Linked DNA regions of Diceros bicornis minor. The protein of the gene in region 4 interacts with the protein of the main gene of each other region in a biochemical or structural test. Links are inferred from orthologs where the notes say so. Each region holds a gene or a part of one and is shown on either strand. Other genes may lie near its edges. The genes, in order: NLK, MITF, TLE1 and LEF1.

Region 1 (6,980 bases), on a different chromosome or scaffold from region 4:
ACAAATTCCCAGTAAATCAATGACAAAATTTAAAGCAAGGAACAACCTTTTTGCTATCCACCCTTCCCCCTACACCCCAAGCTTTGGACTCCTCAAGGGTAAGGCAAGGAATGGAAGTTCACAGTGCAATCCCTGAGGATAGGATATGGAAGCGAAGAGAGGAAGGCAGGAACAGGCAGGTCCCTGAGCAGAGCGCCTGACAGGCACCATTACCGGCTACACTCTTTCCCACCCGGAACCCCACACACCTTCGAGAAGGGAGCACTGCAGCGGCAACCTCCATGGAGAGCTAGCTAGGAAAACACTGGACTTTACTAGTTTAAAAACAACAGATCAGTCATTGAGTAACCTAGATGATAAAATCTGAAATATAAATAAAGATGGCCAGATATAATGCAAAAATGATACTTATATCAATTATAGCCTGAAAAACAATGACGAAAGGAGACATTTACCAGGCTAGTTCCCATGAGTTCATTTTCCTGTGGTTATGGGGGCTTTTCTAGACGTTAACAAGAATCTATTTTTGAATGCACTGAAAACATCAATTCATCTATCCACAGCAGAACACTTAATCCTTGGGGGGAAAAACTCAGTTTGCTCTAGTTTTGACTGGAATAGGACCCTATAACGATAAATACATCTTACTGTAAACTACTAATCTTCCTCAGAAGGGTAAATAGATGAAATGTTGCATTTAAGAAGCCCTTAGACTTTTAAAAAAATATCCTAGCACTAGCAAAAGTAGAGCAGTTTCATATGTTTAAAAAGTATACTTCCTACTACAGCAACCAACCAAGGGATAACAGCAATTTAAGAGGGACCAAATGACACTAAATAACACTAAAACATTACACCAAATGTGGGCCACTGCATAGCTACAGTCTACTGACCTCATTTGTGGTACTCATGTGTGATGCTATATTTAATGCATTCTTATCAAAAGGCTAAAGCTACATGCTTCCCGAATGTAGCTTTATGGTTTAAAATAAACCACTCAAGCAACGACTTAACTGGTTCAACTATGAACCTACCTTCCTTCTGGGGATCAAGATCACAAATTAAGGAATGAAAAGACGGAAAGGAGAGCAAAGTAGCTATGCAAAGCATATCCCAATGACAAGACTATTACAAAGAATCCAGTGTGGGTCAGCTGTGACATTTGCTGCAATTGGGCAACTGATTCAAACTAAATCAAACACGAGCGATGACCAAGGTCTTTGGAGGAATAAGCATTTCATACATTCATCTATTGATCCTACATTCAGTGGCTTACTAAGGTTCTAACCAAAAGTTTGGTAGACAGCAAAGTGACTGTGTATTTACTCATCAGAGGGTGTTCCACCAAAATGTGCCATGACTCAAAAGTGTAATATAAACCTAGATAGCCAACGCGTTAGGCCTCTTTACCACCGAAGTGAGGGTAAGTGGCTTCCTATAGTTGAGTTGAGAAGCTTGCTCCACTTTGGTCAACATGGAGAAAACCACCAGAGATGACTCTGCCAATCACAACCATAAGAAACCTGGAGAAGTTGTGTTTTTCTTTGGATACTCACCAGACAACACCAAAGGCTCCATATCCGATAGGTCTATCCGGCTCAATATCCAGCTGCTGTTGTGGATGATGCGAGTGCTGATGATGGTGCGCCTTAACTGTGGCAGCTGCGGCAGCCTGTACCTGAGCTGGGGCTGCCGCAGCTGGTCCAGGAGCCTGACCCGGTGCCGGTGATGGGAAATATGGCTGTTGTTGCCCAGGGTTTAACATGGCTGCAGCTGCGGCCGCTGCTGCGGCTGCCGCAGCTGCCGAAGAAGTATGCTGCTGGACAGGGTGTACCGCAGCAGCCGACCCCGGGTGAAGATGGTGCTGAGGGTGGTGGTGGTGGTGGAGGTGAGGAGGAGGGAGGTGTGGAAGGTGGTGGTGATGGTGGTGGTGGTGACCTGCTGCTGCTGCAGATGTACCGCCATTGTAAGCCGCCATCATTTTTGCGTTGGCTCTTGCGCCACAAAGAGACATTCAAAAAAAATGCCCTTTGATTGGAAAGCAAACTGGGTCAAGCTGTCATTTGGCCATTTAAAAATGAAGAGAAACCACTCACTCCACCTCAAAAAACATGGAGCGGAACTGGCTTTATGTCTTCATCAGTCAATCCAAACACGTTAGAGGATCGTGGTGTTTAATTTCGGGGTGAGCGTGTGTGGAAGGGTGTGGGGTGCCAAAACAATAAAAGAATATAAAAAAAGAAAAAGAAAAGAAAAAGGGAAAAGGGACCCCTTCCCCCCAGGTTTCCTGCCACAAGTGGGTACTAAAACTCCATCCTTAATTCGGGGGAGGTTCCAACTTTGAATGTGGGAATAAAGGCCAAGCCTCCCGACCCCCTGAACTCCACACACGAAAAGGATCAGGTAACACACCACCCTTGGAATCCTGTAAGAGGGTTGACTCATCTACCCCTTCCATTCCCACATCCTTTTCTAAACACCTACCACCTCCTCAAAAATACAACTGTAAAAAATTCCAACCACCCCAAATTAAAAAGATGGGGGGAAATTTTCAGGGACACCAGCTTTCCCCCCCCTCGAACTCTCAGGCCTTCCTACATCTCCCCCCGCTCCTGGTCAGGTTGACCTGATTGGAGGCGGGGGTACCAAACTTTCCTGAACAGGAAAGAGCCAGGGAAGGAGGCAGGAGAGACGGTGAGCGGAGGAGGCGACAGGGCAGGACGCAGAGGAGAAAGAGAACCGGGGCAAAGTGAAGGTAAGGAGGTGCAGGGAGAAATGAAAGAGAGGTGGGCAGCTCTCGGACGCCCAGAGGGAACCGCCCCGGGATGAGGTTAGGGTCCCGGGGCCAAAGAATAAGCGCCCCGGGAGGCGGGCGGGGTGCAGTCGGAAGCGGGCTGACTCCTGCCCCCGCCGCCGGCTGCTTCTGCTGAGGAGGGTTGGGGGGGAGAGCGGGTGGGTCCCCCCGCGCGACGGCCCCCGCAGGGCTCAAGGCAGTTCCGTCTCCCCCCCTCCCCCCCACCCGGCTTCCGTCCCTGCGGCCGCTTTCGCCTCAGCCGCTGCGGCCGCTTTCTCCTCAGCCGCCGCCTCCTCAGCCGCCGGTGCCGCCGCGGCCGGACTCACCTCCCCTAGCAAAGCCGGATAGAGCGGAGCCAGCGGCGGACACGCGCAACCAGCCGCCGAGGCCCCGCCCCCGCCTCACACTGACCGGCTGCCCTAGCCAATCCACGCCCACCTGTCCGCGTCCGCCTCCAATCCTGGGCCGGGAGCTTCAGACAGGCGCACTGTTCGGCCAGTGGCGACAAGGTGTGGGTCTCCTGGGGAAATCCCGCCCCCGATCCAGGATGGACAGAGAGAAAGACCAATCAAAAGACAGAGTTGGGCCTGACCGACAAGGCTAAAAGCGAATTAAAAACCAAAGATCTCCGTGACATTTTCTTTCGCCTCTCTCCTCTTTTCTTTTTCTTCTTTTATTTTTTTGGCCGGAGCAGGAAGCTGCGTGCTAATCCCGCCTGCAAAAGCTGGAAGAGAGGGTGGAATGAAAGAACCAATCATGAGCCTGGAACCAAGAGCAGAGCAACCAATCCTTGGCTTGAGGATGAAGTGGGATGGGACTGCGGCCAGATAGACATTTGATTTGACAAATGGAAAAAAAGATTGATCTCGGTCCCACCCTTCAGATCCCCTATAGGTCAGGATTGTGGAGAATTCTCTGTCATATCAGCGACGACCTCTTCAGGGGCGGAGCCAAGTAAAAGGGGTGTGGTCTAAAGAAAAGGGGCGGGGCCTAGACGAGGAAGGCGGAGTCCAAATCATCTCTGGTCCATTGACAGCATCCGTCTACTCTCCCTTTTTAAGGCATAAGATTTGGAGAAGTAGGGTGAGCAAAAAGGAATGTCCAGCTTCAGAAACTTCAAGGTCCAAGGTTATTAAACAAGACAGTCATAAGAGAAATTCAGTAAACTGACAGTTCATAGCCCAAAGCTGGTCCTCCATGGCTGATCCTCATCTTAGCGAAAAGAGGCGTTATCTCCAGCATTCTTATCCACTCTCAACGAATGATAAGGCTATCCATACAAATTAAAACAACGATAATAAACGTAACCACAGAAATCATAATTTTCTCCTGTATTTTCTAAGTCAATAAGTACTAGTCATTGAAATCTTACTAAAATAACATCTTTCTTTCCCTTTCACATAACCTCACTTATCTGAATTTACTTTTCTTTTAAAATATGAAATAATAAGCTTACAGATCCTTATCTTATTAAAACTGTGCACTCAGAAACCTGGAGATCATCTTTGATTCCTCTTTTGCCTGCCCACTCCTCTCCTTCTAGTCAATCATCAAGTCTTAAACACTTTTAAACACTTCTAAATACTCCCTCCTTCTCCCCAATCACCACAGTACTGTATTACCCAAATTTATGCCACTAGCATCTTGAATGAATCTCCCTGCCTACGGGCTAGCTCTCCTCTAATCCATCCTCCACTGAGAGCATAGCAATCTTTTAAAAAGATTTCTGCTTATTTTTGATCACCCCTACTCTTGAATAAAGTCAATAAGTCTAAATAGCCCAACACGATCTGGTTCCCGCCTTTCTCCACGGCCTTATCTTTCACCTCCACCCTCCTTACTTTAGACATTCTGAACTTTTTTCAGTACCTCAAATGGTTTGTTGCTTTCGAGCTTTCCTGCATATCTTTGGCCCCAAACACTCCCCACCCACCCTCTACTCCTCAAACTTATCGTTCAGGTTCCACATAAATTTTATATTTTTTCTGGAAAGCTTTCCCTAACCCTGTTGTAGACTGTGTGTCTGGTTATACATCTCCACGGCACTGCTTCCCTCATAGCACTAAGAACTCTATATTTTAATTGTTTACTGAGTTTGACCAGGACAGAAAGCTTGTCTGTCCCACTCAATGTTATATGCCCGGCTCCTAAGGCAGTGTCCAAAAGGTGAAGACGCTTAATAAAGATTTGCATGAGTTACTGAGTGCAGGAGGAGTGGGTACCAATCCAAGCTCTGCCGTTAACTAGCTCTATCACTCAGGCAATTTAACTAACCTTTCTGAGTCTCATTTGCCTCAACTGAAAATGAAGATAATAATATGTGCCTCATCAAGTTGAGGTGATGTATTTCAAAGTTCTTGGTAAATAGTGAAAGTTCAATATATGTTCATTCTCTTTCCCTATCCCCATCCTCACATGATATTTGGGATGCCTTTCTAATTTCCCAATGCATATCAGTCTCCTCCAAAGTGTAGTTTCCTAGAAGCTTCTTAGAAATGCAAAGCCTCAAGTTCCACCCCAGACCTACTGAATCAGAATCTCTTGGGGGTTTGGGGGCCAGGAGTCTTGTGTAACAAGCCCTCCAGGTGATTCTTACACTCAACGAAAGTTTGAGAAGCACTGGCCTAGAGAAGAGGGGCTGAGTCTTCTTTAATTTTGTTTACTTTTCAGCACCCAGTATAGTACCTAGCACCTAGAAAGTGCTCAGTACATGTGAAATAAACAAATACATCCAATCCACCAGAAAATGATTGCATATTAAGAACTATTTATTCCTTCCACAAACATTGTTAAGCTATATCTAGGCAGGGTGCTAGGTTCAACAACGGGGGAGGGGAGGTACATGAATTAAAGTCTCTGCCCTCCAGGAGCTCTAAGTCTAGTGCAGGAGTTTCCAAAATGGTGTGTGCACACTCCATTAGGCTCCAGGAAGAAATTAGTAAAATTTCTATTTCTGCTTATTTTTTATCACATCTTTTTAAAATGTCCATTTTGTCAGTGTTTTATAATGTACATAATATATGGAGTAGTGTACAGGTATATAATTTATAAATAAATAAAAATACATAAATTGGAGATTTATGCTCAAAATGTTTTATCAAAAATATTGGGAAATCACTGGTCTAGTGGCCATTTAATGTTTATGGTTTAGATCAGCTTTGTCCAATAGAAATATAATGAGAGCTACATATGAAATTTTAAATGTTCTAAGAGTCACATTAAAAAGTTAGAAGAGGGGCCAGCACCATGGCATAGTGGTTAAGTTTGGCATGCTCTGCTTTGGCAGCCCTGTTTCGCAGGTTCAGACGCCAGGCGTGGACCTATACCACTTGTCAGGCATGCTATGGTGGCGACCCACATACAAAATAGAGGAAGATTGGCACAGATGTTAGCTCAGGGCTAATCACCCTCAAGCAAAAAAAAAAGGAGGATTGGCAGCAGATGTTAGCTCAGGGTGAATCTTCCTCAGCAAAAAAAGAAAAAAAAAGTTAGAAGAAACAGGTAGAATTATTTTTAATATATTTTATTTAACCCAACATAGCCAAAATATTATAATTTTTAACATGTAATCAATGTAAAAAATTGTATATGTGTTATATTTTGATACTAGTTCTTTGAAATCTGGTGTATGTTTTGCATTTACAGCACATCTCAATTGAATTAAAAATTCAGTTTCCTCAGTTACACTAGCCATATTTCAAGTGCTCATTAGCCTCGTGGGGCTAGTGGCTACCAGATTAGACAGCACAGATCTAGATCACGGGTTTGAATCCCTGTGATCTTGGACAAGTTCCTTAACTTATCTTAGTCTGCATTTTCTTGTCCATAAAATAGAGAGGATCCCTGACTTCTCCAGTTGTTGTGATGATTCAAATAGACAATCATGGAAAGCACACAGCCTGGGGCTTGCCTGGCTCCTCATCAGTGGCAGTAAGTGGGATGGTTATTATTAGTATGACAATCCAAGGCAAAGTGTCCTAAGTGTCAAATGAGAAATACACTTTGGGCACTGCTCAGCTTATGTCCCCAGCATTCTGTCCACGTGGGGCTGGCCTGACAGCCACCCAATTCCCCTGAAACACATCACCAGACAGTACAATATCCGGCCCTTTCCATCGCGTTCCATTTTCAGAAGCTGAGCATGATGAACGAGAAGTCGGAAGTGAGTCAGCAGGATAGCACTTAG
Region 2 (7,146 bases), on a different chromosome or scaffold from region 4:
AGGAATAGCAAGGAGACCAACCTGGCTGAAGCAGAGGGAGCCAGGAGAGGGGCAGCAAGCAAGAAAGTCAGAGCTGACAGGGAGCTTGCCCAGAGAGGCTGCTTGTGCCATTTTAAGGATCTTGAGTTCTACTGAAACTAGGAGCCACTGGAGGGTTTTGAGAAGAGAATGACATGATGTAACACGTTTTAACACAGGGTTTCTCAACCTCAGCAGTGACGATTTGGGGCCAGATAATTCTTTATTGTGGGGGCTGTCCTGTGCACTACAGAATGCTTTGCACCTCTAGCCTCTACTTCCTAAAGGCCAGTAGCAACCTCCTTCCATTGTGACAACCAAAAATGTCTCCAGGCATTGCAAAATCGCCCCCAGATTGAGAACCAATTTTAACAGGAACATTGTGGTTGCTATGTTGAAAATCCACTGAAAGAGGGTAAGGGTGGAAGGCAGGAGAGCAGTTAAGAGACTACTGCATTAACCCAGGCGAGGGCTGGTGCTGGCGTGGACCAAAGAGGTAGCAGAGGAGTTGGTGAGAAGGGGGCAGATTCTGGACATATTTTCAACTCCAAGATACAATCCGGAGAACACAGTTCATAGATGAAATGGCTACAGCAGCCTTAAGCTTTCAATTTCAACTTTTTCCATCCACGACTTACAAGAAGGTAAGTGCCCCAGCAAAGACTTAAGACAAAAAGCTATGAGGAGACCCTGAACAACGTGTGGCCCTTTTAAAGTCACACAACAGATGTCGATGACAATACGTTAGACAACTGTGGAAAACAGTATGGGGGAATTTTGCCAACCCCATATATTTATTCACAGATTTTATTTAACTGGTTTATTTCAAAGAGCATGTGTCTGCTCCACAGACAAGTTTTACAACAACTTTTTTAATTTAGCCTTCCTCTCCATACCGGTTCTGTCCCGCACCTGTTTCTAGCTTCAACGTGTGAAGCCACTGCTTCCCACGTACGCACATTTTTCCTTACATGTGCTAGCTAGCTGCCGAGGACGTTCACCCTTGCAAGTAATTTTTTGCCGACTCTGAAAAAGAGCAGGCCCAAATCCTTCAACAGGAGTTTCATGGCACTCATTTAGGTTTTTCCAGATGGTATTTTCCTCACTCTCTCAGTCATTTAATTTATGTATCAGCTACCATCAAAAATGTTCTAAACAGTCCGGTTAATTCATTTCTTTCAGGACTACACACACACGCACACTCACTCCCTCATTCTGGTCATGCAAGCATTTGCTTATAGAAGCAAAAGCAGAGACTGCCTGGTAAAACACTGGTCCCTTCAGCCGAATGCAGATAAAGCCCCAATGAGCATAACCAACAATACCCTTTACACAATATTACTCAAAACCCCCAACCCCCAACACACACAATCTATGCTCACACACAAAACAGCCATTATGAAGAAAAACCACCAACTAAAGGCTAGTTTTATGCATCTAACTGCATAGGAGGTTTCCTCCCAATCTTGGTGAAGCATCAGCAAAGTGGCTGCTTCAGCAACCCGGTCGGTGGGTGTGCTGTTCCCAGATTTTCTTCCCCAATTTGGTTTCAGTCTTGACATTGGCCTGAAGGAAACAAGCCTGGCTCTGCTTTCAGCTAGAGCAAGTACCAGCCTCCTGTGCCCCAGAAGCAAAGATTACACCACCTCACTCCTAACTGAGCTGCCCTTCTTCATTCACCCTGATTTCTGGACCCACTCCCCCTCTGCCAGCCAGGTCCATTCACCCAGGCCCTACCCAAAGCCAGGGGCAGGCAGGAAGGTTTGAGAGAGTGCTGAAGCACTGCTGAACCTTCCAGTTGTAGCCTTATCTTATGTCACAACTGAGGGGTGGAAATGAACCCTTCTCTACTACTACAGCCTCAAATGACCATCTCCCTCTTAGTGAACTATGGGAATGTCCGGAGTGCCACAGGACAGAAAGGAAGATCTCCAACCCATTCCGACAGATGAGTGGGAGTGGAGGTAACATAGAAAGTGGGCACTAGAGATGGTGGGGCGCCAGACCTGCCAGTGTCTTCACTCTCCTAAAAAGTTTTTGAAGTCCCCAGAGAAATAAACACGTGTCGTTGCCAAGCAGGGGACACTCCCAAAACCCTCCAGTCCCAAGGCTTTTTCCCCTCCAGGTAAGGCCTGGATTTGAATGGGACTCTATCGCCCAGGGAGTTTAACCTGGACGAGGAGACACGCCCCCTCGCTGCCCCTGGCCCCGCCCGCGCTCGGGTGCAGCCTGCGGGAAGGTGAGAGGCGGGGCTCAGAGAAACCTCACCTGGAGGCGGCCAGGGGCGGGTTTTCCCACAGGGACCGGACTCCTAAGAGGCGACAACAGACAAGCTAATTGCTTCCCTCGAACGTCGCGCCTCAATCCACCCCAAGCTCTCCCTCTCCAAGTCGTCAGCCCGTTGAGATCTTCAAAAAAGGGCTTCACTAGAAACTCTTCTTCCCTCCCTTCCACCGCGACTGCCTCCCGGCCCGGCGCTCCTCCTCCCCCACCTCTGCTCCGGGTCGCTCCCCAGCCCCCACTGGTATCCCCAGCCAAGGGTCCCCTCGCCGGGGCGGGCGGTCCCAGGCTGCCCGCCGCGCCCGCGGAGTGCGCTTCGGCGGAGACCCCCCGGAGGCGCACCGGCTGGGCGTGCACGGCCCCCAAGTGCGGGGGGCAGTTCGCCCTCTGCCCCGGGGCAAGGGCACGGGGTCCTTGTCCCAGAGCCCGGCCAACCGGCTTTCCACGCCCCAAGGTGGGAGGCGCGGGGCCCCCCAGCCGCCCGCCGCGCCTCCCTCCAACTGTCACCACTCACCTGCTCTTCAGGGGTTGACTTTTGAGTTCGTAATAGGTTTTGGGCTCTTCGTGAAACTCCTCCCCGACTTCGAAATCCGGCACGATCCCCGATTCCGACTGCATGGCTCCCGCTTCCCGGCCTTCTACTGCTGGAAAGTGCGAACAGAACCCGGGGGCGGAGGGAAGGTGGCGGGGCCTGGGTCCCCCGAGCGGCGCGCCCCCGCGCTGTGCCGAGCTCAGCCCCTCACCCGCGCGCGGCCGCCCGCCCCAGCGCGGTGAGTTTACACTCGCACTCGGGCGGGAGGGGCCGGCGGCCGAGCGCTGCCTGGGATCTGTAGTTCGGTCCGGGCGGGGCATTCCCGGCTCGCCAGGGGAGCAGCTCCCGCGAAAACTACAACTCCCAGAAGGCCAGGCGGGGGCAGAGGCAACGTGGTGGACACCGCTAGTGCAACTCCTGTTTGGATTCATTGTCAATGTCAGCAGCTCCTCTCGCTCGTCTCTCCCCGCTTACTTCAAGGGTACAGACTTGGCTATTTAATATTAATAAGAACGGACTCAGCCCTGTTCTCCTATCGTCATCCCGCCTCCCAGCTCAGACACTTGAGAGGGCACGCCAAGTCGTTATTAAAAACAAAAAAAAAATAGTGAAGTGTTTTGCACTACAAAGTTTTAGCCTTCAAGCCTCCCTTAAAATAAAAGGTCTTCCTATCAGCCTGCGTGCTTCCCAGCGCTGCTGCGACATATCAGCTTGTCCTCGGATTGGAACAGAGTGGAGGAAGTTTCCTTCACTTTGTAATTAAAACACTGTAGAAAGTGCTCTTGTGCGTTTCATTTCTATAACTGACCCGGACTGGGCTTGTAAAATACTATTCATCCAGCTGAGTGGCTCTGTCCGCTCTATCCAATTAGCCACTTCTAATCTAAAGCAACACTTCAAAGGTTCGGTGAATTTTAAAAGGCACAAAGTTAACAAAACAGCGTCATCACTGTCTGCTTTTAATTTCTCAGTTGGCCGGGAGTTCAAACGAGATTGTCCTAACATTTCAGGAGTGAAATTGTGGGGTACATAAACTGTGCAAGCGTCAACCCTCCCCTGAGCTTCCCGGCATTCACTTAGGGACCAGAATAACAGGGTCTGGTATGGCTCATTTGTACTTCCAGTCCTGCTCTCTGATTAGTTCCAGTAGGATGTGTTCCTTCTTTTAAAAGTCTTGAGGCATCAGGGAGGCGGTAGAGAGTTAGAGGGTGGTGTTTAAAGTTACAAGACCCAGAGCTGAAATCCCAAGTCCTTCTCTAAAGCGCTGTGTAATGGTGAGCATGTCACTTGATTCCTAGAAGCCTTGATTTCTTCATCTCTGAAAGAGGAGATTGGCAAACCTGTTGTAGAAGATGTTGCAAGGTCAAATGCAAGAGAAAGTGATTTGTAGTCTGTAAAAATGGTGTTCAATGGTCATTGTTTTATTTATTAGATCTTGAGGATATTCCTTGCAGACGAACATTTCATCTGTGATTTTGTCCTTTCAGAAGTAATAAACTAAATGATCATCCTGGGAGAAAACTCTGAGGAGGTTAGATTAACGACTGGACATCTCTCAGGACTTGCCCTTTGCACGTTTTGCCTCACAATGAAACATTTTAATTTCACGTTTGGTCCATACCATTAAACTATGACAGAACCTGAACACTCTTGAGGAAAGTGGGCTTTTTGTGCTCATGAATGTGGTATCCCACGTTCCTTGATCGCCGGACTGCTAGAAATCAGATGTTAAAAGTAAAGTGTTACTCTCTGCCAGAAGGAAGAAGAGAGGTAAAACATGAAGGGAACATTCAGCCTAGACTCCTAGTCTCATCTTGATTCTCAACCGTAGAATGCTTGGAATGTGGGAGGAGGGGTTGATCATCATTAATAGCTTGGGAGTATTACAGGCATTTAAGGGGTATGGGTCAGAGATGCTATACAATGACAGACTCTCTTGTCCAAATATCGGTGGTACCCCCATGGAGAAACACTAGACTCTTCATAATCTTTTGGTTCACCAGAAGCTTTTTAATCTGAGGAAAGCTATGGACCTTCTCCCCAGAAATATAGATATAAACAAGATTCTGTGCATAATTTTGGCCTGTTGACCTTTAAAGACCATCAAGGATTCATGTTAGAACTGCAGTTTATAACCTCTTTTGAACTGTAATGAAACAGTCCGTTTCATCATTCATTATATCAAACAGTGATCTACTAGACCTAAAGGACCAAACCTGAAGGGGAAAAAACTGTCAAGAAAGCTAAGACCTCTGAACTTACCTCCAACTAAGGGCACCTTCCAGAGAGATCCCTAGGGTGCAAAGCTCTGAGATGAGGTTGCCCTGAGTAGACACAGGTAGCTGCTATTTTTTTTTCTTTTTTTTTTTTCTTGTGAGGAAGACCAGCCCTGAGCTAACATCCAATGCCAATCCTCCTCTTTTTTGCTGAGGAAGACTGGCCCTGGGCTAACATCCATGCCCATCTTTCTCCACTTTATATGGGACACCGCTACAGCATGGCTTGCCAAGCAGTGCCTCGGTGCACACCCAGGATCCGGGACAGCGAACCCTGGGCCGCCGCAGCGGAGCATACGCACTTAACCGCTTGAGCCACCGGCCGGCCCGATAGCTGCTATTTCTTTTCCCCTACATTTTTTCTTCTGGTCTCATCCTACTCTTGCTTCAGGAAAACTTCTGTCACATATGGCAAGGTTATCCATCACAGCGCCATCAGCAACCCAATGGGAGTGGGTATGTGACCTAATCCTGACCAATAGGTGGGCCCATTTCCTTAGCCACAGTGATTCCTTTATGGATGAACACAGGACCCTACCATGACTAGAAGTCCTCCTTGGGACTTCTCTGCTAGGGCAACTGACTGTCTGATTTTTGGAAGCAAAGTGTTAGAAGAAAGGAAACCTAGACCTAACTACTTATGGCCACATAACAAAGCTGATCAAAAACAAGAGAGGCTGAGATAAGATCAACAATCAAAGAGAAGCAGAAACAAGCAAAACTGAGAAGTAGAAAACTACCATAACATTGTTCCAGTTTCACGTTCCAACCATACCTGAAGTCAGACATCCTTGGACTTTCTAGGTATATGAACCACAAAAAAATTTTTCTTTTTGCCAGAACTATTTGGTTTAGCTTTTTGGCACTTGCAACCAAAAGAGATTTGAGTAATCACCCTAAAAACCTTTCACTCCTTTAAATGGACAATTTTCTATAGACTACTATACCATTAATCCACAAACAAAAAGTTGGCCACCTGCTGGATAGCCCCTGTAATCCCTCTTCATTAGTGAATTGAACCCTAGGAGTAGCTACCACTTAGAAAAAGGCAATAAGGGGCTGGCCTGGTGGTGTAGCGGTTATGTTTGCACACTCCACTTCCAAGGCCAGGGGTCGGCGGCCCAGGGTTGGCAGGTTCGGATCCAGGACGCCGACCGAAGCACCCTTTGTCAAGCCATGCCGTGGAGGCGTCCCATATAAAGTTAGAGAAAGATGGGCATGGATGTTAGCCCAGGGCCAGTCTTCCTCAGCAAAAAGAGGAGGATTGGCAACGGATGTTAGCTCAGGGCTAATCTTCCTCACACACACACAAAAAAAGATAATAAAAGTCAATAGCTCCACATATTTCAACCAAGAACTATGCCTATTAAAAGTACAAAAACAATGGCTAAAGATTATAATTAATTATTGTCATTAATAATATGACCTATATTTAGGTAATAGTTTACTTTTTTACACATGCATGTCACATGCACCTCTTGTTGAGCTCATAAAAATCCATCAGAGATGCATGGGCAAGGGTCCCCGTTTTAATACACATTGAACATGCATTAGTTATGGACATGGCATTGTGTTAGGTAAACGGACTACAAGAATGTATTTGACTTCCTCCCTGCCCTCAAGAGGCTCACAGTCCAGGAGTTGAGTCAAGGCTTGGAACACAATGAGAAACCACACATAAGGTAGCAAATGCTAAGCAGCAGATGATTGGTGTTTGATCATACTTTCATATCTATTTAGCTCAACAACTATTTATGGAGCACCTACTCTGTACCAGCCACATTATGTGCTAGATAAGGGGGAAATAGCAGTGATGAGACGTGTATTCCCCACACTCAGGACATAGTCCCTGCCTTTTTAGGAATAGGAACGAAAATGATTTAATGGATAAATAGAGTGACAGAGAGGTACACGCTACAAGCGTCTGAGAAAGGAGCAACCATTGAGGGCAGGGGACAGAGAGAAAGGATTCTTGGAAATGTGACTAAGCTAGTCTTCAAAAAATAAAAAAAAGAAAGGAAAAAATCTAGCGTATAAAAT
Region 3 (7,171 bases), on a different chromosome or scaffold from region 4:
AAGCTAAGATTTCAAAGGAGCAAAGGAAGAAACTAACGTTTCCCAAAGTCCACTAGACAGACAGGGTACTTTACACATAGTTTTCATTTATAAATCTTTTTAAGTAGGTGTTATTAGATGAAGAAACTAAAGCTGAGATGAATGTAAATGTGACTCCAATCCCTTGTCCTACCCAAACCAGTCCAGAATAACACCAAAGCAGATAGCTTTCCCCTACACACTATCACTCCCCTCATCACCACCAACGAAGGGGACAGCGAAAAGCATCTAGCCCTCCATAAAGGACTTTGCCTCAGACAACCCAATTCTCTAGTATGGCAAACAGCGATTTCAACACTGGCTTTGCCTCCCTGAACCCGCACTCCAGGGCTGGGGCATCGCTGGAACGAAGGTTTCAGCTCAGCCTGTTGCAAAATAAATAAATGAAGTGCAAATATTGACGATTCTCATGCAACTCCTAAATAGACGAAAATAGACTCCCTGGAAGAGCAGCAAACGCGCAAAAGGGAAACAATGGGAGGAGGTGGAGACAAGAGAAGAGGCGGCCCGGGAAGAGCCAGGAAAGGGGGTAGCGTGAATGACAGGTCTTAACTGCGACTCCACACGCCACCGCCTGGACGCAAGCACTAAGTACAGCCGCCGCCGCCACCAGGCTGGGCGCAGAGCGCCGCGGGGCTGCCCGTGCGACCACTCGCCCCGCGCGGCCGGACACGCACCTGTGATACTGCGCCTGCAGGAACTGGAATTCCTCTTTAATCCGGTCCAGGGACTCCGGGATAGTAAACTTGAAGGGCTGGCCTGCAGCCTGGTGCGGCGTCTGGGGGCGACCAGCGAGGGGGACGAGGGACGGGATGCGGGCGGATGGATAAAGCAGTAAGTCAGCGGGCAGTGGAGTGGGTGGGACATAAACAAAAAATAAAGTTAGAAGTGGAGGAAAACGCAGTCGGGAACTCGAGTTTGCGCTTCACTTTGGGGAGCGGGAAAGCGGACCCTCCCCCGACCCCCGGCTCCTAAAGGTGGCTCGGAGCCTCTTCCGGCATCCACAGCGGGTCGCGGTGAGTGCGCCCGGGTCTCCTGGCTGGAGGGAAAGGGGCTCCCGGGCGGCCGCGGAGGACGAGGCGAGACTGTCTTCCTCGTCGCCGCCCCCTCCCCCCACGGGGACGATAATGACCCCGGGGACCAGAAAAGAAAAACAACTCCCTTACGTTCCCGGTTCCCAGAGTCACCGGGGCCACCTCCAGGCGCGCCGGAACGGGGGCCGCATTGACATGCAAATAAGCGAGACGAGAAACAAAGGGGGGGCGCCCTACTCGCCTCAGGGAAGGGGGAGGATGTGGCTGCGGGAGAGAAACCCCAGCCTCCCCGGGCGCACCCGCCCGCCCTGTCTAGACGTCAAGTGGGAAGGAGCCCAGAGAAAAGCATGGAAATTGAGGGCTTCAGCCCACTCCCCACCCCAGGAGGGAAGGGCCCGGGACCTCCGCAGCCTTGCACTCCTGGGGGACAGGGTCTGCCAGAATGTAGCAGCCACCCGTTTACACACGTCAAAAAACCAGCGCCCCCCCCCTCACTACCCTGCCCCCCATGAGCCCCTCGGCCGCGCCTCACCGGGTGCCGGCTCTGCGGGAACATCGCTCTGGCGGCGGCCGCAGCTCTGTTCCCGGGCAACTCAATTCTCCGCTCAATTTCCAACTTTAATCCCGCCGAGGAAAATTAAGCCGGGAAGCCAGGCAGAAACCGGGAGCGCGGGGGACGCGCTGGCCGCGCACGCAGGCGCGCTCGGCGGGGCGCACCGGCCACTCGGCGCCCGGCTGCTCCTGCTCCCGCCGGTGCGGGCTCCCGCGCTCAGGGCCACATCGCGGGGCGCCCCGGGGCACCAGACTCGGTGCGGCGACGCCGGCGCCCAGGAAGACGGCGCGGGGGCTGCGCTCCAAGCCGCGGCCTCGGCCGCCCGGGCGGGGAGGTGGGGGTGACTCCGGCCGCGCTCCCCTCCGAGATCCGCGTGCGCGTCGCCGTCCCGAGCAAACAGATCCAAGCGGGCCGCCTTCCTTCGCTTTTCTCCCGATCCGCCTCCTCCGAGTTTTCCCCACGGCGCCGGCCGCGGGCGAGGTGCAGGTGGCGCGACGCCCACGGCTAACCCACAAAAACAAACCTGACGCCGTTCGAGGCCGACCCCTGAGGGGCCGGGCAGCGCCTTGGGCCGAGCGCTCGCGGGGCCCCGGGAGGCGGCGAGAGCGAGGTCCGGGCCGCGACGGAGGCTCCGCGCCCGGCGCTCCGCAGCCTCAGCGGGAGCCGAGGAGCGCGGGATGACGCCGAGGCGGGGAAAGTGCGGAGGGCGCGCCGGGAGGCGGCTCGGCACGCCCCGCGCCACCGGTACTCGGTGTTCTCGGCGCTTGCACAAACCTTCCTGGCCCGACGGGGCTAATCGGCGGAGGGCAGTCCCGTAGCCGCACGCCGCTCCTCCAGCCCGGGGCGCATCCGGGCGCCACGCCCCGCGCGCACTCGCCCCGCACGACTGCCTCGGCCGCCCTGGACCCTTCCTCCGAGCCCCCTCCTCGGTCCTCTTTCTTTCCTCCCCTTCGTCTGCCTCTCCGCGAAGGGCGCTCCAGCCCGCTGCAAAGTTCTCTCACGACCCGGGGGACGACATCCACGAGATGGTGGGGAGAGGAGCAAGAGTGCACTCCGCCGCTCGGCCTCCCTCCCCGGCGGGCAAACTCCGCGGGCGAGTCCGGAATAGTCGCGGCGGCGGCAGCCGGCGGGGTTTAAGTCGCCGCGGGCCGACAGAGGTCCGGGCTGGTGGCGCGGGTCCCGCCCGGCCGTGAGAGGGTGGGGTGGCGCAATCGGCTGCCTCGGGGACGCGGGGCACAGGGTATCCGCTGCTGCTGCTGCTCCTGCAGCCGCCGCTCCCGCCGCCGCCGCCCGCGCCTCTCGCGCCGGTTACATTAACACGCGGTTTCACACTCCAGAGCTAACCAGCGCGGGCCCCGCCCAGCCCGGCGCGGGCGGGGGGCGCGAGTGCGGAGCCGGCGGGGGACGTGGGCCGAGGCGTTGGGGGGGGGCACGGGGAGGCCCGCGTCAGCCAATCGCGTGCGCTGCGCCCAACGTGGGGTGTTGACGTGACGCCTCCCCAGAGCCTATGGCAGCGCAGCACCGGACGGGCCGTTTCCCCCCCTCCTCTCCCACCCCACTCGCTTCCATCTCCGCCGTCTCCCCCGTCTCCCCTCCCACCCCACCCCCACCACTCCTCCGCCAGCCGCGTCCTCCCGGGCTCGGTGAGGCACTGTTCCTGGAGGAGCCGCGGGACGCCGAAACCAGCCAATGGGAAGCGGCGTGCCGCGGAGATTGGCACCGTGGATGGGAAGGTCGGTGGGAAGGAGAGCGGCGGGCCCGGGCTGTCAATCAAAGTAACGTGGGGCTGGCGAGGGAGCGCGCGGATGCGCGCGGGCGGGAGGGACCGACCGGCGAGCGTGCAGTCGCGGAAGGTGGGGGCTCGAGTTTGCAAAAATCCTGCCACTTGTTCACTTTTCCCTTTCATGAAAATTCTCAGATCTCAGTGAAAGTAACTGATAGACTAACAGAGTAGTTTCTTAAAGGGGTGAGGGGGCTTTTTTGGTAGTTCGAGCGGAATGCTTCTTTCGGTGCTGACCCCTTGTTTGATGCTACCCCTGAAAGTGAGGTCCCATTCAAAAATTTCTCTGAGGTTTGTTTTCCCTTGAGCTGCCTTTTCGCGGATGCACAAGAAGGAGTGGACTGTGCTCTTGGTGGAAAATGCATAAGTGGGCAACGTATTGGCTGGTGTACGTACACCAGCCGCGTAAGACTAGGCTTTTAATGCCTACACCTCCTCTGCACCCAAGGTGGTAGGATTTGGGTTTTATTGAAGGATTTCAACCCACTTTGCAATAAGTTCGGCCTGCCTTCGTTTGGCGGGAAGGATACCAAGGTGCTGCCAGGGTCAGGCACGCGTGCCCCAGTCGCAGATGCGATGCTTTGCCCGCGGCGCGAAATCTCAGGTCCTTGTCTTAAAAGTCTGGATTTCGCTGTGTAGGGGGGTAGAGGGCTGCTGAGAGTCTTAGGGGCCTCTCAGCAGCATGACCGCGAGTCTGTTTCCAATTCCTGGAAACAAAGGGAGACAATGGGATAAACCAGCATTGAGACCTGAAAAACCTGTCCTGCCCACCCCACCCCCATAGTTTGGGTGGTACCTCAGGCAGAGCTGCGTAAGGAGCTAGATGGGAAGCGTTGGGTAAATGACATGGCTAACATTCTTATGGGGTGGACCTTGACTTAAAAGACATTTTGAGATCTTAAATAAACGGAGCATACTGTGTAAGTCTTCAGTTTCTGTTTCTCTAAATACACCACACAGCAGAAAGCCTTCAATATTGCCGCTTTTATACTTTTGTTTAAACAACAATTCAGTTGAGCTGTTTCCACATGATTGGTGAGTGACTAATGCTCTTTTAGGCGAATGGTGGTGAATTCTTCCATGAGAGGACACATCTTTGACAAGCGTTCATCTTATATTGGCAGCTACTTAACAAGTTTTTGGTATTAACCTCCACTTTTCCCATTATTTTACTTTCAAGAGACTTACGGAGAGGCACTTATTTAAACAGAAATATATGCTATTTGAAGATTTGCTTTTACAGAGATCTTTTTCTTGAAATATTAAAAGAATCATTTTAGATAATGTATTTCACTGTGGGAGTCATTCTTAAATATGTATGATATTGATTTGTCTATAATTGCATCAATCCCAAATATCAATTATAAATGAAAAATTAAAGGGGTGATTTTAGCCAGTCTGTACAAGGCGATAGTAATTTCTTAAACAAGTTCAGCATTGTGGCTTTGCAGTGTTCTCATTAAGTGGGATGGGGAAAGGCTTATATTATTCATTATGCTATCACAGAGAATGAAAAGGAAGGAAGCACTGACCCTCTTTCCTTGGTTAAGTTTGGTCACGACAAGAGCAGGCTTGCTCCTCTGCGTACGGGACTGTTTTGAAATTACGTGATCCATGGGCAACTCAGCTTTGTCCTCTGGCAGCCTCTGTTCCTTGAAATCTTCATCTAGTAATTGGGCCACGTATGCCAGTCTGTGGTCAGTTCATCCCATAATCAGCTCCAGGACTGTGTAGAAAGTGCTTGGATGCCACAAATGATGCCCGGGGGTGCCAGGACAAGTGGGGCCACTGAGACTTCTCCCTGGGTTACCCAAGCTTTACTTTGATTTACGGGCACACGTGGGTAATTAAGTTTAAACTGAGAAATTAAAATGGTATATGTTGAGACGGGAGCAAAAGTGTTGCTACTTCTCCTCTTCTCTCCCCTCCCTATCCTCTTCAAAATCAGTTCTAACACATTGTCTTTAAATGTTCTCTAATACAGCTTTTCACAGCCAACATCTACTCACCGTATTTCCCATTTGCCATGGATAAAAACTGGAAATACTCTTAACTAGTGCTTTCTTCCCAGCAGAGTTTGAAACACTAGGCCTTCTGATTTCCCTATAATGTAGTATCTGGAGCAAAGACAGAATGATGATTTTAAAATTGCAAGGCCTTTAATTGTGTGCATAAAGACAGTTGGTTTTCAATGGTTTCTTTCTCATACAGCGCATCCTCCTTGAGAGAGGGAGAAGGCTGTGTCCCTTTTCAAGGTCATATTTTCTCTATGATTGTCATGCTGTAATAATTATACTACAAAACTCTCATCAAACTGCATTACAAATGATGGTGTTTAAACAATCAAGTAGCTTTAATCTTATGTTTTAAATAAATATATGTGCAGATTGCCTACAGCCTGTTTAAAAGAAAATAGTCCTACTCATGAAATCTATAATTTTGGTCTTCTATTTAAAGTCTGTTAACCATAATCTTCTTTACCTTTAAGATATTCATATGTTGATGATGTTTTTACATGAAATAATATTAAGTACTCTGCTTCTATAGGAAATTGTCTCTGAAAAAAGTTCTCTTTTTATCTTCTGCAAAAGAAAGGAAAAGATTGCCAGATTGTTTATTTTATCATTGATGCATATGTGGGTATATTTCCATTCATTTGTTGCTGACTATCAAATTTTCAATCAGCAATAGCAGAAGTAATTACAAAAACTAGATGTCACATATAATATAGGTACTAGACACAATCAGAAAAATCATGGATGCTGGTCATGGAAATTATGCATCTTTTAAATCTATTTTTTATTTGAAATAATAATGTTAATTTTTAAAGGATCACTTTAGTCATTTTCTTTTGCTTTTAGCTGTGAGTTATTGCTTATGCGTTTCCTCACTGGACTTTTTTTTAACCTGGGAATTTTCTTAAACCTAAGAATGTAGGGTCCAGAAGAAATTTTCCTAGCATTGCTTTATAACCTTTTCCCCCCATCCCTTTACCAAAGAAAAGGGCAGGATAGGTGTGGGGAGTGGAAGGGAGAAAGCAGAGAAGGAAAAAAAAAAATCGGTAGCAGATCCATGCAGCAGTAAAACCTCAAATAAAATCACATCCAAAGAATCTCTTGCGGTTTCACACAATATGGTAAAATTAGAGATTGCAGGAAACCAACTAAATTAAACTGGGAGCATTTGAAGAGAAACGAGCAGACTTTATGAAAATGACACATTGACTGACCGGTATGCTTTTTTATCAACAATTTCTTTGTTAAGATGCAGATCAAAGGAACCTGCATATGTTTTCATTTTGTCCTAACTAGAAAATTACATCCAGATGTTTAATAGGCATTTGGTTGGTTTTCCACCATTGATTAGATATGTTGGTTCTGTTTGCTTACAAGTGTAGCCGGATCATTAGCTAATGCAAAGAAATGTTTGCTGTGAGTTGCTAATTAGGGCTTTTGGAAACCCTCCATGCTCAAGAACAATTTGTACAGTGGCCCGAAGAACTTGTGGGAGTGGGGAAGTTGTTTTCCCTTCTCCTTGGGGTGGAGAGAAGCAGACAGTCCCACTCCCTAATCCCCCTTTGCTTGTGGGGATTTCGATGCTATCCCTGAGGACTGGAGTGCAAATAAATTAGGCAGAGACCACACAGGCGCTCCCAAACACGGAGATAAATGTGCTCTTTCTGGAACCACCACCATGCTGTCTTTGGGGGAGAGGGGAGCGAACATCTAAAGCGCTGAACATTAACATGTGGGAAGATGCTTGGTG
Region 4 (7,764 bases):
CCCCCTCCGCCCGCCTCCCCCCCCCACAGTCACAAACGTTTTTAATGAGGTTGGGTGCACCCTAGCCCCCCTCCCGAGGTTCCCGTCAAATTGGCACGTGGGAACGAAAGATTCAGGGGATAACGAACACCCCTATGTTCTTCTAGAACCAGGCCCCCAGCTTTCCAAAACGCGTACTCACCCCTGCCATTGGGATTAAGAAGGTAACTCTGAGGTGTTCTTAAACGTGTGTTTAAAACCCAAAATGTCCCCGCCCCCAAAACCACACGCTTTCTTTTTGGGGGCAGAAAGATGCCATTTAAGGAAAAAGGGTATACCCTCCAAGTTCCTCTGGAGGGAAAAAGCGTTGGTGAAACCATTTGAGTGTCAGGACCTTTCTACCGGATTTCCTCCACAGCGTTTCCCAGTAGAAGGCGAGGGTGGCCGGTGGGGTGTCGGGTGTCAGGGTCCTCCCGCCCCCGCCCCGCTAGCTCCGCGCGGCCTGAACTCGCCGTCCCCGCGCCGGGCTCGCGCTCCCGCTCGCCGGCGCCCACGTGTCTCTATTTACCAGCTCGGGTTACGGCGCGCTCGCCGCCGGCCGGGAGATCTGATAAGGCGCCCTCCACCCTCCGGAGTGGGTGCCCTGGCTTCCGCCGCATCTCCACTCTGACTCGCCTTTTTCTGCATAGATTGAAGGTCTGATCCGGGCCCAAACTAACCCCGAACATAAGCGCTTTCTTTTTTCTTTCCTTTAAGTGACGCGGGCTGGAGAAAACCGGCGTGGCGGGCGGCCCTGCGAGGCCCCCGGGGAGGCTCGGCCGGCGCGTGGGACCTCGGGGCCAGGGACCCGCCCGCGCCGCCCCCGCTCGGCGGCTCCGGCCCCGCTCGGCGGCGGTTGGGACGGCCCGCGGGTCCAGGCCCACGCCCGCCTCCCTGCCCTCCCCTCCCTTCCCCTCCCCGGCCCTGCGGCTCCGCTCGTCTCGCCTGAGCCTCCGGCGGCTTAACGCACTCGTGCAGACACCCACCCGGAGGCAGCGGGCGCGCCGTCTTCCGTCTACGGAAGAACTTTCAGGGCCGCTCACACGTCCTCGCACCCGCTCAGCCCACCGAACGAGGCCGAAGGCGAGGCGTTCAGGGTTAAGGGCAGCTTCTCCTGCCCGCAAACCCACGGTCCAGCCACCCAACCCGAACAGACCCACTCGGGATAAGTGTCCCTGCGCCCCCCCGCCCCCCCGACACACGCGCACACAGGAAAAGCGCTGACCAGCGGCCCAGCCACCCCGCCCCCTGCCACCGGGGCGCCCATGGGCCCCTCGGCCGGACCGCCGGCGCCCTCCCTCCCCTCCCGCGCCCCGGGACCCGCCACGCCTCTCGGAGCCGGGGCGGCGGCCCGCTCACCTCGTGTCCGTTGCTGGCCGGGATGATTTCGGACTCGTTCACCAAGGAGGACTTGATGTCAGCTAAGTCGCCTTCCTCTTCGGGGTGACTGATCTCGGCGAAGATCTTCTCTTTCTGGGGATCGCCCTCGTCCTTGAAGGGGATCATCTCGTCCGTGGCGCAGAGTTCCGGGTCCCCCCCGCCGCCGCCGGCCCCGGAGAGTTGGGGCATCGCGACCGCTCTGTAATCTCCGCTCCGCTGGGGGAGCACCGAGGCGACAGCAGGAAAGAGAGGGGGGTCAACGAAAGCGGGGGGAGGAAGAAGAGAATTGCAAGGACGCGTGCGGAAGCGGGGCCGGCGAGCGCGGGGCCGGCAGCCGGAGCAGCTGCGGCGGCGCCCGCGCCTTCCCGCTCCGCCGAGCCCGACGCCGGCGCCCGCCCACGAGGCCGAAGGGCACGGGGCTGCGAAGGCCGCCGCCGCCGGCGCCTCCGGGGCGTCTGCGCGGCGCGGTGCGGCGTGGCGCGCGCTCGGCTGGGCTGCCCGGGCGGCCGCCCCACGCCCCCGGCGCCTCCGGGGTCCGCGCGCCGAGGACGCCGGTTCAGAAGTGGGACGACTTTCCGAAGTGCGCAGCAGGGTCCGTCGGCGCGTCTCTAAGCCAACCGCGCCACCCTAGCTTCCCCTTTGGGAGTTTGTTTTCCGAGTAAAGAAAGGAGCTGGGCAAAAAGGCTCCGTTTGCCCCAGCGGAGAAGGTGCAAGGAGAATATGAGGATAACGAAATGTCCACTTCCTGGAGGGTAAAAAAAATAAAGAGCCACCCCGGTTGGAGATGTCCGTTTTAGAGCTTCTTATTTCCTTCCCTTTCGCTTCGGTTTTCCCTCTCCAGGCGCATTTAATCTGCTGGAGGAGGAGGAGGAGGAGGAGAAGGTGGGGGCGGAGGAGGAGGGGAAGAGAAAGAGAAGAAGTTTGCCAAGAATAAAGTTTGTGCCGGCGAGCGCTGGGAGTCGGCAGTGGAGGGCACGGCGGGGTCTCGAGAAGTCACAGCAGGGTCCTCGGGCCCAAATGCTTCTGCCGGGAGCTGGAGCCGACACACACACACACACACACACACACAGCCCGACCCCTTTGTTCCCGGCTCGAGTTTCTCAGCCTGGCTCACTCGCTCGCCGCTCTCCACGCCTCCGCCGGGCCGCTCTGTCAAAGCACAGAGCTGCACCCCTCGGGTTCGCCCGGCCCAGGCGACGCCCGGAGCTTGGCCGCGTGCGGGGCTGCGAGCGCGTCCCGGCTCCTTGGCCCGAGCGCGCGCAGCCCGGATCCCTCCTCCGCGCCCTGCCCCGCAGGTGAGCTGCGGCGCCTCCCCACCGGTTCTCCTCCTCCCGCGCCTCGCCGGCGCTGTAAAGCTACCCACTTGCGTCGCTTCTCCTCCCCTCCCCTCCCCCGCCTCCAACTCTCCTTGGCTGCCCGCTGGGGTAGGGGGGTGGAGGGGGATGGCGAGAAGGAGGTGGTGATCGAGGTCTTTTTTTTCCCAGAGCCTGTAGGACGAGTCCTAGTTTTGGGGTGTGTATGTGTGTGTGTGTGTGTGTGCGCGCGCGCGCGCGCCTGGAGGAAAGGATCAGGCAACTTGGCGAGGGAAGGAAGGACCGGGCGCTTCTTGTAACCCACCGAGAGGCACGCTTTGCTCGCGTGAAATTGACAAGAAACTCTGCCCGAATGGTTTAACTTCATCATCTAAGTATCTCTTCTCCCCCCCACCCCGCCAGTCTCTCCCCCACCCTCTTTCCACCTCCCTCTTTCCCTCCCTCGCTCTGGCAGGGGAAGAAGATGAAAGAGAAGCCGCCGCAGCTGTGATCGACACCACATTGATAGATGCTCTGACAGAGGGGATGAGGCGGGAATCCCGGACAGGGAAAAGGGAAAAGGGGAAAATATAACAGACATTGCTCAACTAATAAGAAAGAACGGAAGCAGGAGGGACAGGAAAGACAGTTGTGGCTTTCCTAAATATAATGTCAAAGAACAAGGGAACACACGCTAGCAAAAATAAAATCTGCAGGCTTACCGAGAAAAATAGGACGAGGAAGAAAAAACTGAAGACTGGATCTTAATTATAGCTTTTTAAGCAAGATCTCTTTCATTCCATCCTCACCGTGGGATGTACAGAGAGAGTTAGGTCTCCCGTGGATTTTCGGAGATACACGGCACAATGTGTGGACACCTCGTAGAGAATGAAAAAACAACCCAAGGAGGGAGAAGACAAGGCAAAAGGACCCAGGAGAGCGGAGCCAGTAGAGGGAGGGAGGACAGGGCAGTCTCTGGCGCCTCCGACTGCGCGCTCAAAGGGACCCTTGAAGATGCAAATCCGAATCCAACCTCAAAAATTCCCCAGCCTCCACCGTCTCTTTGATGCATTTTGTACAAGGACAGGCTTTTAAGGAGATGCTTTGTGAAAGTTACAGTATGAGCAGAGCTGGAGTTTGAAAACACATTACATTTTGTTCCTTGGCTCTGAACCCCCCTCAGTTAAAAATCCAGGCAAAATTATTATGCCCAATACAGTAGCCATCTGTAAAACCTCAGAACAGTAAACAAGGGGCAGGAAGAAATGTGTCTCCATCTCTCTTAAATTGAAAATAAGGAAAAACACCACAGAATCAGACTGGAGCTCTATTACATAGGAATAGTCATGTAAAGATCCCTCTTTTTCTAAGGGGGAAATTGCATGCTGCTGGACACTGTATAAGTAAAGACCTTAACAATGCTCTAAATGAGCACTTAAAACCTCACCTACTGATAACTACTTCCTACAGATGGGAATTTACTAGGAAGCAATTTTTAAAACTATATCATTTAAAGGGTTCAGATGGTGACATGGAGCATGGCCAGTAGTCACAGGGAAATTGTATTGGAGGATTGGGGTAAAATAAGGGGCTGGTGATGGGAGCCAGGAAAAGTAAAACATTAAATCCACTTTAAATAGCTGACAATGCTATGCTTTACAGAAGGAAAACATAAGAGAATATTCTGCTACAACGTTTCCGTAAGTCAATGCTAAAAAGGTTGGAAAGAAACTCAATTTTATTTTTTGCTTAGTGGCCGTATGCAACTTCCCTTGAAGCTATGCACCAGTGTGAGCATAATGTCCTAGAGGTGTGAATATGTAGCTATGTCAGACATTAATACCCTCTGTTCTAAAAGAAATATGGGAAAACAAAGTCAAAAGTCCTCCCACAAATGCGCCAATCTGACGGATAGGAAAAGAACTGGAAAATGCAGTTTCACCAAAGCAGCCCGAGTACACGTTCCTTTTCATCAAACCGTCGAGGAGGGGGAGGGGGGCACACAGAATGGCCAGAGGGTATTTTCTGAAAGCCAAAGAGAGATTAAATGACGTCTCCTACATCCCCCCTGTTTAAGTGTTGCAACTAATTCGAATCCCATTTTCTCCTTCCTGTTAATTATCTGGACTCCCTGAGTCATTTGGAGCTCAGCTCCAGGTGTCCTGGAGATTAGGAGCTCGAGAAGATGGGAATTTTTGGAACCATAACTAGTGGGAACTGTTCACTAGAAGGGCCGAGGGTAGGTGGCTGCGTTTGGTATTTTGCGGCAACCTTCTCCTTTGGAAACATGGTTTCTAACGAAATCACCCAGCACCTGGCTCTGTGTGCGTGGCTGTTTTCCCTCCCCCGTGGCGTGCGGGGTGTCGGCTGCTTGTCCTTAGCCTTGTTGCAAATCTTCTGACCGGCTGCACTTACAAGGGGCTTTACTAGAAAACATGCACCCAAGTCTTTTAGAGCTTTGTCTGGGAGGGAGGTTGACATTTCCACGTGAAGTCGTCTCTCCTGGGGGAAAAAACAGGACACACAGGAGGAAGACGTTCCTCCCTCCCCACGGGTTCGGGTAGTTCCAGGCGAAGGCATCTCTGCTGCCGGGAGGTCTTTTCTGATTCGCGTGGGGGCTGCTCTGCACATCTGCGGCCGCCTCTCCGGGCGCACCGTCCGGGATGTGGTGGGTGCGGCGCGGGAGAAGCGCGGCCACCGCCGCCCCCTTCCCTCGGCTGGAGGGCCAGGTTGTTCGTGTGAACTCGAGCGGACGACTGGAGGTTGGCTGGTGCAGGTTCACTCCTTCAGGATGTGGGTTTCAGGGGGCGTTTTGATGTGATTTAATTCCGACCGTGAAACAATTGCTAGGGGCTGGCTGGATTGCTGTTGGTTTTTCCCCTCTTGGTGGCTTTGGTTGGTTGGGGTTGAGTTTGGGAGCGAACAGTGACTCGTTTTATATCAACACTTCCTTCTGCGCCGGAACAGAGGAGGGGGGGAGCGGAGACGGGCCTCGCACCCCCAGGGTAAGCCGGGCCCAGCCCCTGCGGGCGCGGGCAGGGGACCCGGGACAGTGACCCCCACCTACACCGGAGACCCCTCCCCCGGCGATCTGGCTGCCAAGTCGAGTCAGCTACAGACACTCCAGTGAGTCCTTAATTACAGGGAGCAGAGACAAGCGCGGTGCCCTGGAGAGCCCTCCCCGCCCCCTCGGCCCTAACCCCCGCCCGGCTCCGGGTCTTCGCCTTTGTGTGGCCTGGACTCCCTCCCAGCGACAACTTTGGTGGGATCCCAGAGGAAGGCGGTGGCGGGCCTACGGAAGAGGATGCTCGCGAGGAGAGAAGCGAGCGTGCAGGACTAGAAAACGAATAACGCGATTCCAGCGCCGGAGCGCCGGCACCCCCTCTCCCACTCCCACCGCGGCCTCTCCAGGCGACGAAAGCTGCGGGCGCCTTCGGTTTAACGGACCTCGCGGACAGGGAGAGGGGGCGAGGGAAACGGCAGTTTGTGTCCCAGGGGCTCTTCCGCCCCTTCTTGCCTCCTCCTAAGACAAACAAACTCAACCCCCACCCGCCGGGTAACAGAACTCGTGGGACCGTAAAAATGCCGTTCCCAAATCCGGCCGCCTGCGGACGCCGGGCTTCCGCGGGCCCGCCCTCCGCGCCCGCCCGCCCCCCGAGCGCCGCCGGCTGCACTCGCGCCCCGGGCGCTGCGGGCCGAGCCCGGGTCCGCGTCCCGCTGGTGCGCCCGGGGCGCGAGGGAGGGCCACGTGCGCCCCGCCGTCTGCGGGCTCGGCCAGCCCCCCGCCCCCCGGAAGCGCGGGCTCCGCCGGAGTCGCCCAGAGGGACAGGAGAGCGCGGGGGTGATCGCGACAGGAAGGCGGGTCGCGGGCGGGCTCAGGGCGCGGGATGTGCAAGCCAGGGCCCCGCCACGCACGCTCGCGGCAGGGCTCGGCGGCGGGCATCCGGCTTCCCGCCAGGAGCCGGCGGTGCGGCCGGAAGGGGGGCGCCCGGAAAGGGGTGGATGGACGTGCGGGCTGGGACCCCTTGGCGGCCCGCACGACGGCTCGCCTAGTGGGCTGCACTCGAAATTCTTTTCCTTGCTTTCTGAAAACTTTTCTCAGGCGCCCGAACTTGGAGTGGGGACCGGCCCTCCCTCGGCGCGGTCCCTCCGCGCGCCCCGGGGCCGGCCGCCCCGGCCGGGGGAGGACGCGCAGAGGCCGCCCGCGCGCCGCGCCGGAGTCCGCCGAGGGCGGCGCCTGCGCAGGGCCCGGCGCGGCGGCGCGGCCTTTGAAGTCCCGGCGGCCGTCGCTTTCATCCTTTCTCTTTTCCCTTGCAGGCCCCTTTGTGTGACTAAATTTGGCGAGAACATGGATCCTCGCCAGGCTTTCCACGTGTGCTCCCAGCTCCCAGCTGAGAAGGCCAAGGGTTCTCTTCCGGGTAAGGAGACAGGGAGAAAGATCAAAGAGTTTGGGGAGCTGGATCTGAAATGTGAATTGAAAATAAAAATCAAGCCTGGACACATTCCAGTTTCTAAAGCAGAACCAACCCTCAGCAGAGGCCGTCCGGCTCTGACTCTCTCTCCCCCTCTGCTCCCTTTTACTCTCTCCCTCCCTTTCTTTCTCGCGACCATTCTTGATCACGTGGAATAAAATAAAGAGGACATAGGGAAACACTTAGTTTCTCCAGATTTTGTTTTGCAGTCATTTTATTAGGGAAAATATCTTGTTCATAATTACCGTTATGTGAAGCTGAATTTCTTCAGCCATAAATATTGTCTGATTTCGGAATGCTTCACACTTTCTTCTGCGACCACGTTTGGGAAGAGAACGTTGACAGGACACATGTACACGTGTTCGTTGTGCATAGTGCTTCTTTTTCAACACTCCATACCAGGCACCACACAGTTTTCTTCCACAGAAGTCAGATTCTGAAAGACCAGTGTTAATATTATTTTTATGAAAGCACTCACTATCACAACTAGTGAATCATTTGAATTCCTCTTATTGATAAACTTTGGAAATCTTTTTCTACAGGCGACTAGCCAGAAAATTTCTGTTTTTGTGGTTAAAAACCCATTAAGCCCATTCTTGAAT

What was found.
Region 1: of the proteins of LEF1 (region 4) and NLK, one has a biochemical effect on the other in vitro, tested with the Homo sapiens proteins (4 studies listed by BioGRID). The link is inferred for Diceros bicornis minor from reciprocal best matches to the Homo sapiens genes LEF1 and NLK.
Region 2: the proteins of LEF1 (region 4) and MITF form a complex in vitro, tested with the Homo sapiens proteins (2 studies listed by BioGRID). The link is inferred for Diceros bicornis minor from reciprocal best matches to the Homo sapiens genes LEF1 and MITF.
Region 3: the proteins of LEF1 (region 4) and TLE1 form a complex in vitro, tested with the Homo sapiens proteins (2 studies listed by BioGRID and IntAct, with this or other methods). The link is inferred for Diceros bicornis minor from reciprocal best matches to the Homo sapiens genes LEF1 and TLE1.

The regions. Positions count from the first base shown.
Region 1 is NC_080757.1:19,327,449-19,334,428, forward strand, and holds the start of NLK (serine/threonine-protein kinase NLK), read right to left. Parts: upstream 3,002-6,980; 5' UTR 2,015-3,001; coding exon 1,557-2,014; intron 1-1,556. UniProt on the Homo sapiens protein: Serine/threonine-protein kinase that regulates a number of transcription factors with key roles in cell fate determination. Positive effector of the non-canonical Wnt signaling pathway, acting downstream of WNT5A, MAP3K7/TAK1 and HIPK2.
Region 2 is NC_080741.1:68,237,184-68,244,329, reverse strand, and holds the start of MITF (microphthalmia-associated transcription factor), read right to left. Parts: upstream 3,013-7,146; 5' UTR 2,917-3,012; coding exon 2,813-2,916; intron 1-2,812. UniProt on the Homo sapiens protein: Transcription factor that acts as a master regulator of melanocyte survival and differentiation as well as melanosome biogenesis.
Region 3 is NC_080761.1:12,946,991-12,954,161, reverse strand, and holds the start of TLE1 (transducin-like enhancer protein 1), read right to left. Parts: upstream 3,006-7,171; 5' UTR 1,630-3,005; coding exon 1,606-1,629; intron 818-1,605; coding exon 717-817; intron 1-716. UniProt on the Homo sapiens protein: Transcriptional corepressor that binds to a number of transcription factors. Inhibits NF-kappa-B-regulated gene expression. Inhibits the transcriptional activation mediated by FOXA2, and by CTNNB1 and TCF family members in Wnt signaling.
Region 4 is NC_080750.1:3,900,947-3,908,710, forward strand, and holds the start of LEF1 (lymphoid enhancer-binding factor 1), read right to left. Parts: upstream 3,020-7,764; 5' UTR 1,588-3,019; coding exon 1,378-1,587; intron 1-1,377. UniProt on the Homo sapiens protein: Transcription factor that binds DNA in a sequence-specific manner. Participates in the Wnt signaling pathway. Activates transcription of target genes in the presence of CTNNB1 and EP300.